Linked DNA regions of Sus scrofa. The protein of the gene in region 1 binds, or shares a complex with, the protein of each later gene. Links are inferred from orthologs where the notes say so. Each region holds a gene or a part of one and is shown in the gene's direction. Other genes may lie near its edges.

Region 1 (3,809 bases):
AAAAAATAATAATAAAAAATAAAAAAATTTTAAAGTTAAGAATGTCCCACACATTATTTGGGGCATATTTATGCTAAAAACATCTTTGTTCATTGTTTATCTGAAGTTTAAGTTTACCTGGTGTCTTGTTTTTTTATTTGCTAATCTGGTCACCTTAGCTGAGTCTTGTGACTGTGCCCCTACCTGCCACTGCACCAGGAGGTCCTCAGGTGGGGGAGGGTCCGATGTTGGTGCCTAAAGCCTCAGCATTCAGCCTCCTCTCAGTGACTTTCTGAGGGCAAGTCAACATCTCCTCTGCATGTCTGGGCCTCCAACCTCCTGGGAGGCCAACCATCTTCCTTGGGTACACTCCCCCTCCCCCACTGCCTCCCCAGGTCCAGAGCGCAGTGTGGACGTGACGGATGTCACCAAGCAGAAGGACTGCAAGATGAAACTGAAGGAGTTCGTGGACTATTACTACAGCACCAACCGCAAGCGAGTTCTTAACCTTACCAACCTTGAGTTCTCTGACACCAGGTGAGTGGGGTCAGGGCATGAGGGATGGAGAGGGATATTGCTTTGAAATATGCTGGAGATTTTTTTTGTGTGTGGGGGGGTTCTTTTTAGGGCCACATCTGCAGCATATGCAAGTTCCCAAGCTAGGGGTCCAATCAGAGCTGTAGCTGCCAGCTTACACCACAGCCACAGCAACGCAGGATCCGAGATGCGTATGCAGTCTACACCACAGCTCATGGCAATGCTGGATCCTTAACCCACTGAGGCAAGGGATTGAACCCGTGTCCTCATGGATACTAGTTGGGTTCGTCACCGCTGAGCCACAACAGGAACTCCTATGCTGGAAATTTAAAGAGGAAGGCCCTGTGAGGCTGTTGAGGTCAGGGTGGCCTGGCCTATGATTTGTGACCATCTTGTTGGGGTAGGCACAGTCTTGGTTGGAGGACTGTGCCCGAGGCAGCAAGAACACTGAGACCCCAGTCTTGGCTTGAGTGAAATGTCACCTCATTGCACAGGTGCTGCTGAGCTGGATGTTTTGATGTATTGTGCATCCTGTCCAGAACGGTGACATTTAATCGAATCAAAGGCTGCCTTTGCCTTTTCATATCTTCCCTGGGGATAAGTTATGGGGTCTGACGTGGTCCCACAGCAAGGAGTTGCAGGCACCCTGTTGTGTGCTCTGGGGGACAGTGGCTTTTCCGTAGGTGATGCCAGGAAGCTCCTGGGCTGTGCATGAGCAAAGATGTTTACTCTTGGGGCCCATTGTGCCCAGTGGCACTAACATAAGCGCACCTGAAAAGCCTCTGCAATTCTCCAGGATGGAAGTTGTCCCTGGGGTAGACGATTCTCAGGCCTTCTCTGTGCCTGTCTTTGGATGGAGAGCCCAGTGTTAGATGCCTGCCATGGCCACGCCCAGCAGCTGGGCTCCTTCTGCCCTCTCTGAATCTCAGTTTGCTCATCTGTAGAATGGGAGCAGTGTCATGTAGCTGGAGGTGGAGAAATAGCTGTGGGACGTGCACCCAGAGCCCCTTTCCTGCCCTGCCCAGAATGTGGCGACACTTCTTGTCACTGCTGACTGCCCTTTCTGTCCCTGCCCCCAGAATGTCCAGCTTCGTGGAGCCACCTGACATAGTGAAGAAACTGTCCTGGGTAGAAAACTACTGGCCTGATGACGCATTGCTGGCCAAGCCCAAGGTGACCAAGTACTGCCTGATCTGTGTGAAGGACAGCTACACTGACTTCCACATTGACTCTGGGGGTGCCTCTGCCTGGTACCATGTGCTCAAGGTGAGTGCTGGCCTCTGCTCCCCACATGGGTCCTGCACGGGCCTCAGGGGCACCACCTGCTTTCGCCCAGGCATTGTCAGACTGCAGGACCACGGTAGTCCTTGCAGGCCCTACCAGTGGCCAGCATCGGGTGGAATGAGAGACAAGATGTTTCTCCATAGAAGTGACACAGATGTTGGGCCCTCGAGGGGCATGGGGGTTGGGGGAGCAGCCCACTGGAGTGGTGACCAAGTGCTCCTGTCCAAGGAAAGGAGAGTAGTGCTGGGAGGACTTCCTGGAAGAGGGGAGGATGAGGAGTTATGCTCCATTGGGAGGCTGGGGGTGGGCCGGGGCCCAGGGAGCAAAGTGCAGTGGCATCTGAGTGGCAGAGAGAGCTGGGGGGCTGCTGGCTGGGGACAGATGGGGATGCTGGGGGAAAAGGGAGTTGTGAAGACCAACAGAAAGGGAGTCCCTAAGCCTTGGACACACCACCCGGCCCCAAGTCTCCCCAGACCTGCTGGAGCCCAGGATAGGGTGGGCAGCGCAGCTTCTGATGTTGGCTCTTTGAGGCCCTGAGCAAGTTCTGCCCCCCCGAGCACCCCTGCCCTCAGCCCGTCTGCCCCAAGTGAGGACATTTCCACCTCCCTAGTCCAAGTGCAGGGCTGGGCTGGGGCTGGCAGCCAGGCCCTCCTTTCGTCTCCAGATGGGACCCAAGCCTCCCCCAGAGCAGAACTTCCCTGTAACTCATCAGACAGCAGGTCACAACTTTGTTTCCCTTGGCACGGACGGCATCCATGGTGCTGTGGAGATGTGTGCGGAGTGGCGGGGGTTGCCCAGAACATGCTAGAGGCTCCTATGCCTGGAATCTTCCTAACACGCAGACTTCTGAATTGCAAAGCACGCGTGGCCCCAATTTCAGGGCCTGGGCAGGATGGTGTTGAAGCCAGGACCCATCCCCAGGACACAGTAGGCTCTGTCCCCCACCTCAGCATCCCCAGGACATGGTGGGCTCTGCCCACCCCCAGCATCTCCAGCATATGACAGGCTCTGCCAATGGCCTCTTGTTGGCAGGGGGAGAAGATCTTCTATCTCATCAAGCCAGCTTCGGCCAACATCTCCCTGTACGAGCGCTGGCAGTCAGCCTCAAACCACAGCGAAATGTTCTTTGCCGACCAGGTGGACAAGTGCTACAAATGCACCCTCAAGCAGGGCCAGACACTCTTCATCCCCTCAGGTAAGTGCCTTGTCCCTGTGTTGCGCCCCCACTGCTGATGACTGCCAGGGGAGGTCACATCCTGGCTGTCTGCTTCCTTTCCTTGGGGCCTGCTCTGTGGGCCCAGTTGTGCTCAGGGAGGCCAGGTGCATGGAATCGCATGGGGCCCCAAGAGCCCATCTCTGAGAGCCTTGCCATGCTGTAGAGCTGGTGTTTGCTCATCTCCATGTTTTAAGCATAAGCAAGAGGAGGAACCATGATGTGAGCAGATAAAGGCCCTTTATAGATGTCATGTTACTTCACCCCTAAATATGTCCCTATGTAAGGTTTCCTTTTAAAAATAATGTAATTACACCGTCATCACACTTTAGGGGTGAAGGGTTAAGAGTCCCTTGGGTGTCGCCCAGTGGGTAGTCAATCAGATTTTCTCACTGCTGTGTAAGGAGGCCCCCACATCTCCATTGATTGATGTGCCTCAGCGTCCCTCCTGCTCTAGCCCCACCCTCCTTCCTACAGTCACAGTTATTTCCCCAAGTCTGGTCCAGGTTCCATCTCTGAGGATGCTGTAGAGACAAACTGAACTCTCCCAGGAGGTGTGGCAGCCCTGCCTGCCTCTCTCCGGCCCCGCAGGTGGAGATCAGGCCTGCTGGCAGCCATACCTTGGGGTGGGTCTGAGTAGGTCCCCTTGACTCCTGGGCCTCAGCTTCCCTGTCCGAACCATGCCGGGCTGGAGTGGACAGACCGGGCCAGCTCCGACACAGTCTTTCCTTCTGGGAGGGCCACCCATTCATGACAGGGCCAGAGCACCTTCCAGGATGGGTAGGGGCATGGCGAA
Region 2 (3,909 bases), on another chromosome or scaffold:
GGGGGGTCCACTTTAAGAAAATCGTACAAAAGTACCTTACCTTGGCAAACAACACCCCCCTCCCTCTAAAACTCCCTCTAACAGAAGGCTTTGGAAGAGACCTTGCTTAAGCTTCTCTAGTTTCTCTGTAAAGCTCCCTCTGCCTATGGCTTTGGTGATTTTGACCTAGAACAGTATCCTGGTCCAAGATAAGCTCACAGTCTCATGGGTGATGGAGGCTGAGACAATTGATTATAAAGCAAACTGTGGCATAAGGGAATTACAGATGGAATACTACAGAAGGTTAGGTAGGCACTGAAATAGGTTCGACAGACAGGTGGAATTTAGAGTCATGGCTAGGAGCGGACAGAATTATATTTATACTGTCTACTCTTTATTGAGCATCTACTACATAAAAAGGACTGTCTCGAGACTATCTCCTTTAGTCCTGACAGAAACAGGAAACTGAGACTCATAGAGGTTAAGTAATCTAGGTTATAAAGATACAGAGTGGAAGAGCAAGGATTTGATCTGCAAGCTGTTTGCTTCCAGAGCCAGAACATGGTATACAGAGCCAGGCTGCTGTGGGAGGAGCCTGCAGTGTGTGGATCCTCAGGTGGAAAAACGCAAACGCCAGTAGGCAGAGGAGGAACTGGGCCAAACCGGAACATAGGGCTGCTTTTACGTCCAACTCTTTGTCAACACATTTATTTATTTGCTTCTCTGTGACATTTATTTTTAAAAATATTTTATTAGAGTATAGTTGCCTTACAATGTTGTGTTAGGTGTATAGCAAAGTGAATCAGTCATACATGTAAATATACCTTTTCTTTTTTCCCCATATAGGTGATTCCTGCGGTATACAATAAACTGTCAGAATGTGTGTGATACTTACACTCCCAATTCTTCCCTCTGCCCAACCGTACACCTACGGTAACCTTAAGGTTGAATTTTTTTTTTTTTTTAACCAACATATTGGTTAAAAAAGCTACTGAGAATACTGGCAATATTTATTTCAGTTCTTAAGGCATTGCCAGGTACAGCATTCAACCAGAAAGATGGACTTAGAGGCGCTATACCACATTTCCCAGGTGCCCACGGGGCAAGAGGGACCGAGATCTTGCTTTGCCCGTAAAACACTACACTTCCCAGCATGCACTGGGTGCGCCGGTCCGCGGCTCCCGCCATGCCCGCGGAGGCGGAGAAGGCCGGCATAGGCTCCGCCCCGCTCGCGCGTTCCCACTCGCCCCGCCTCTCCCGCTCACCCGAGCCAATGAGAAGGCTCCATACTGCGGAGTGTGACGGGGCCGGCGCCTCAACTGAGTTGCAAGTCGGCGAAAGCGGCGGGAAGTTCGTACTGGGCAGAAGGCGACCGGTCTGCGGTTCCGGGTAGGGTAGCCGCGCGCGGAGCTGAGCAAGAGTGCCGGCGCCGAGCGGGGGCCGCGGAGAGGCTGTCGGCGGCCGGGCCGGCGCGGGGCGGCAGGGCAGCCGGGACCTCGGGAGGCGCCGGCGTCCTCTCTCGCCGGGTTTCCCTCAGGCCCCGCTGCGGCCCCGGGCTCCCTGCACCGGCCGGGCGGGTCCCCAAGGCTCCGTTGCCGGTTCTGAACGGCGTGTAGGCGGGTCAGACTTGCACGGCATCCTGGGCGCTCAGGCCGGGTCTGGGAGATGGCTTCTGTAGGCCAGATTGGATCAGCGGCGTCCCTCCGCGGTCTTGGAACTCACGTTCTGCAGGGGAAGCAGAATAGAAGCCAAACTGACCATTTGCAGAAGCGAGAGCTCTCTGAAAACGGGGACAGGCGTCTGTGGGCGGGAGTGATGGGCGGGGGTGGGGTGAGGAGGGCATCTCGGGAGGCGACGTTGGCCTGGAGACCTGAGATAGGGGCAGGAGCCTGCTCGCCCGGGGCTGGCGTTCCAGGCCTGGGCGCCTTTCTTAGCTGTCAAGGTCCGGCTGAGGCCCGGTGAGAGCGGCCCTTGCGGCAGGTTCAAGGCGTTCGAGCTCCGGTGGCGGAATTTTACAAGGGATTTTCGCGTGCCCCTGACAGCTGTTTTTTGTCCCGTCTTCGTAGCTGCAGGGTGGCACCTTTTGCTGATGCTGCTGTATTCGCGGGCGACAGATAGTTTTTCCTACCGTCGGAATAATTTTTGGCTCTGGTCTCAAAACTCTTAGGTGCTTTATTTAAATTCGACAAACGCACCAGGGTTTCCGGGTTGAGAGGGAAATGTGGTAGACCCTAGGTTTCAGTTAAGTCCACTCATTTTTTAACTTTTCTGTCAAGTCACCCCTCCCCCCGTTTTTTTTTTTTTCTTCTCTTCTTGCTATGTATTGACTCGTCCTTTCCCTCCCCCATCTCTCCTTGAAACAGTTTGGAGATACCAGTTTTGCTCTTGGGAAGGTGGTGGTTTTAAGAAACTGTTGAAGGGCCTCATTCATTATTATTTTTTTCTTTTCTTTTTTTTTTTCAACTAGAATTGCCCATCCGTTAAGCTGTAATTTACAAGATTAAAAGAAAATGTATGGCAGCATTATTTTTAAGCGTTCAGAATAAAGGCATCTTGCTTTTCATGACTTTGGAAGTGTGATGCTTTTGGGGAGGATTTAATGTACAATTTTAAAGTAGTTTCAGAGGGAGGCAAGGGTTTTTTGTATAATCATCTTATTCAGGTTATGTCTGTGCTGTCCAAAATGGCATATAGTAATTGGAATTACATTTACAGGTAGTTAAGGTCAGGTCATCCTCTGATATAGCAAGTTGTCACTTAACACTGGCTTTCTCTGCCGAAGCCGCCGTGGGTGCTGTTCTCTGTGCATCTCAGCGTTGCTGATCAGATTCTGGGTTAATGCAGTAACAACTTGAATTTGATGGCAGTAACTTGTGTTCAGCATTACTGTCCATTTAGTGCTGCTATCTACAACAGATGAGATTTAGAGTGTAAGGGCTTCTTAATGTTCAGTGTTGCAGAAATTGTGAGAGGATATTTGGTCAACAAATGAGAAAGCGGAGAAATGTGTCAAGCACAGAACCTGACATACAGTAAGTTCGTAAGTGCCCAGGAAATGGTTATATGGAAAGCTTATGCCGAGTCTTATTCCAGGATGCAAATGTATATTTTACAAATAACAGTCATGCATTCAAAATGTTGACAGACCCTAAAATTAACTTTCTTAAATAGGCCAGCTTTTTTTTTTAAATTGAGAACTAATGTGAAATAATAGTAAATAGGTAAGTGAAAGTCCCAGATGTCTAGGAAAGAAAAAAGATTTTTCTTGGACAGCTGTATGTATGTTTTTCCTTAAAGCCTTCCCTAGTAAGTTATGATGTGCTATAAGAAGAATTTTGATTTAAAAAGTAGAACTTTGAAAGTATTTTTGATTTGATAAATAGAACTTACTGGAAATGGGGCAGAGCTTAAACATTTACCTTATATATAACAAGTGAGGAAGGATGGTTCCTAGATTTACGCGAACAGTGCACATGCCGATATCTCCATGTAGCGGACAGGAACCCAAGGGAAGTTGAGTGCTGCCTCTTTGTGTGCGGTGCTGAGGCTTTCGTGGAAATTGGTCTTGATGGGTTGTGAGAATGGAAGGGTAACTGGATAGGACTGGAGAATATATTTCAGACTGGTAGGATATTTTGCAAGCTTGTCTGGGTTATTTTTCAGAGGGAGCAGCAGTGGACTCACATAATCACCAGATGTCTATGTCGGGAACCGTGCTGGGTGCAGAGTCTGTTCTTGCCATTGTAGTGTTTTGTTGAAGCAAGATTTCTTTTACACTGATAGAGGTCATTTCTTGTCGGCTTTGGCTACTTAGCACCCAGCACACAAGTAGTCAACTGTGTCTGGCACATTTGAAAAACTACACTCTTAGTGATAACATGGAATTTTTAGTAAGGGTGTACGATTAATTTAGAAAGGTGATAGCATCCT

Evidence for each region.
Region 2: the proteins of PHF2 (region 1) and VRK1 are in contact, whole or in part, in a crystal structure (PDB 8F8Y), measured with the Homo sapiens proteins. The link is inferred for Sus scrofa from reciprocal best matches to the Homo sapiens genes PHF2 and VRK1. Residues at the interface, in NP_005383.3 of Homo sapiens: Tyr7, Tyr14, Val16, Thr17, Arg18, Phe19, Met20, Ile21, Glu22, Trp29, Glu39, Ala42, Ile45, Asp46, Tyr48, Lys64, Tyr145, Ser147, Glu150, Lys175, Val178, Asp179, Tyr182, Ser183, Thr184; in NP_003375.1 of Homo sapiens: Pro2, Arg3, Val4, Lys5, Ala6, Ala7, Gln8.

The regions. Positions count from the first base shown.
Region 1 is NC_010445.4:43,054,362-43,058,170, forward strand, and holds part of PHF2 (lysine-specific demethylase PHF2), read left to right. Parts: intron 1-374; coding exon 375-516; intron 517-1,595; coding exon 1,596-1,782; intron 1,783-2,832; coding exon 2,833-2,995; intron 2,996-3,809. UniProt on the Homo sapiens protein: Lysine demethylase that demethylates both histones and non-histone proteins. Enzymatically inactive by itself, and becomes active following phosphorylation by PKA: forms a complex with ARID5B and mediates demethylation of methylated ARID5B.
Region 2 is NC_010449.5:117,941,682-117,945,590, forward strand, and holds the start of VRK1 (serine/threonine-protein kinase VRK1), read left to right. Parts: upstream 1-1,282; 5' UTR 1,283-1,368; intron 1,369-3,909. UniProt on the Homo sapiens protein: Serine/threonine kinase involved in the regulation of key cellular processes including the cell cycle, nuclear condensation, transcription regulation, and DNA damage response.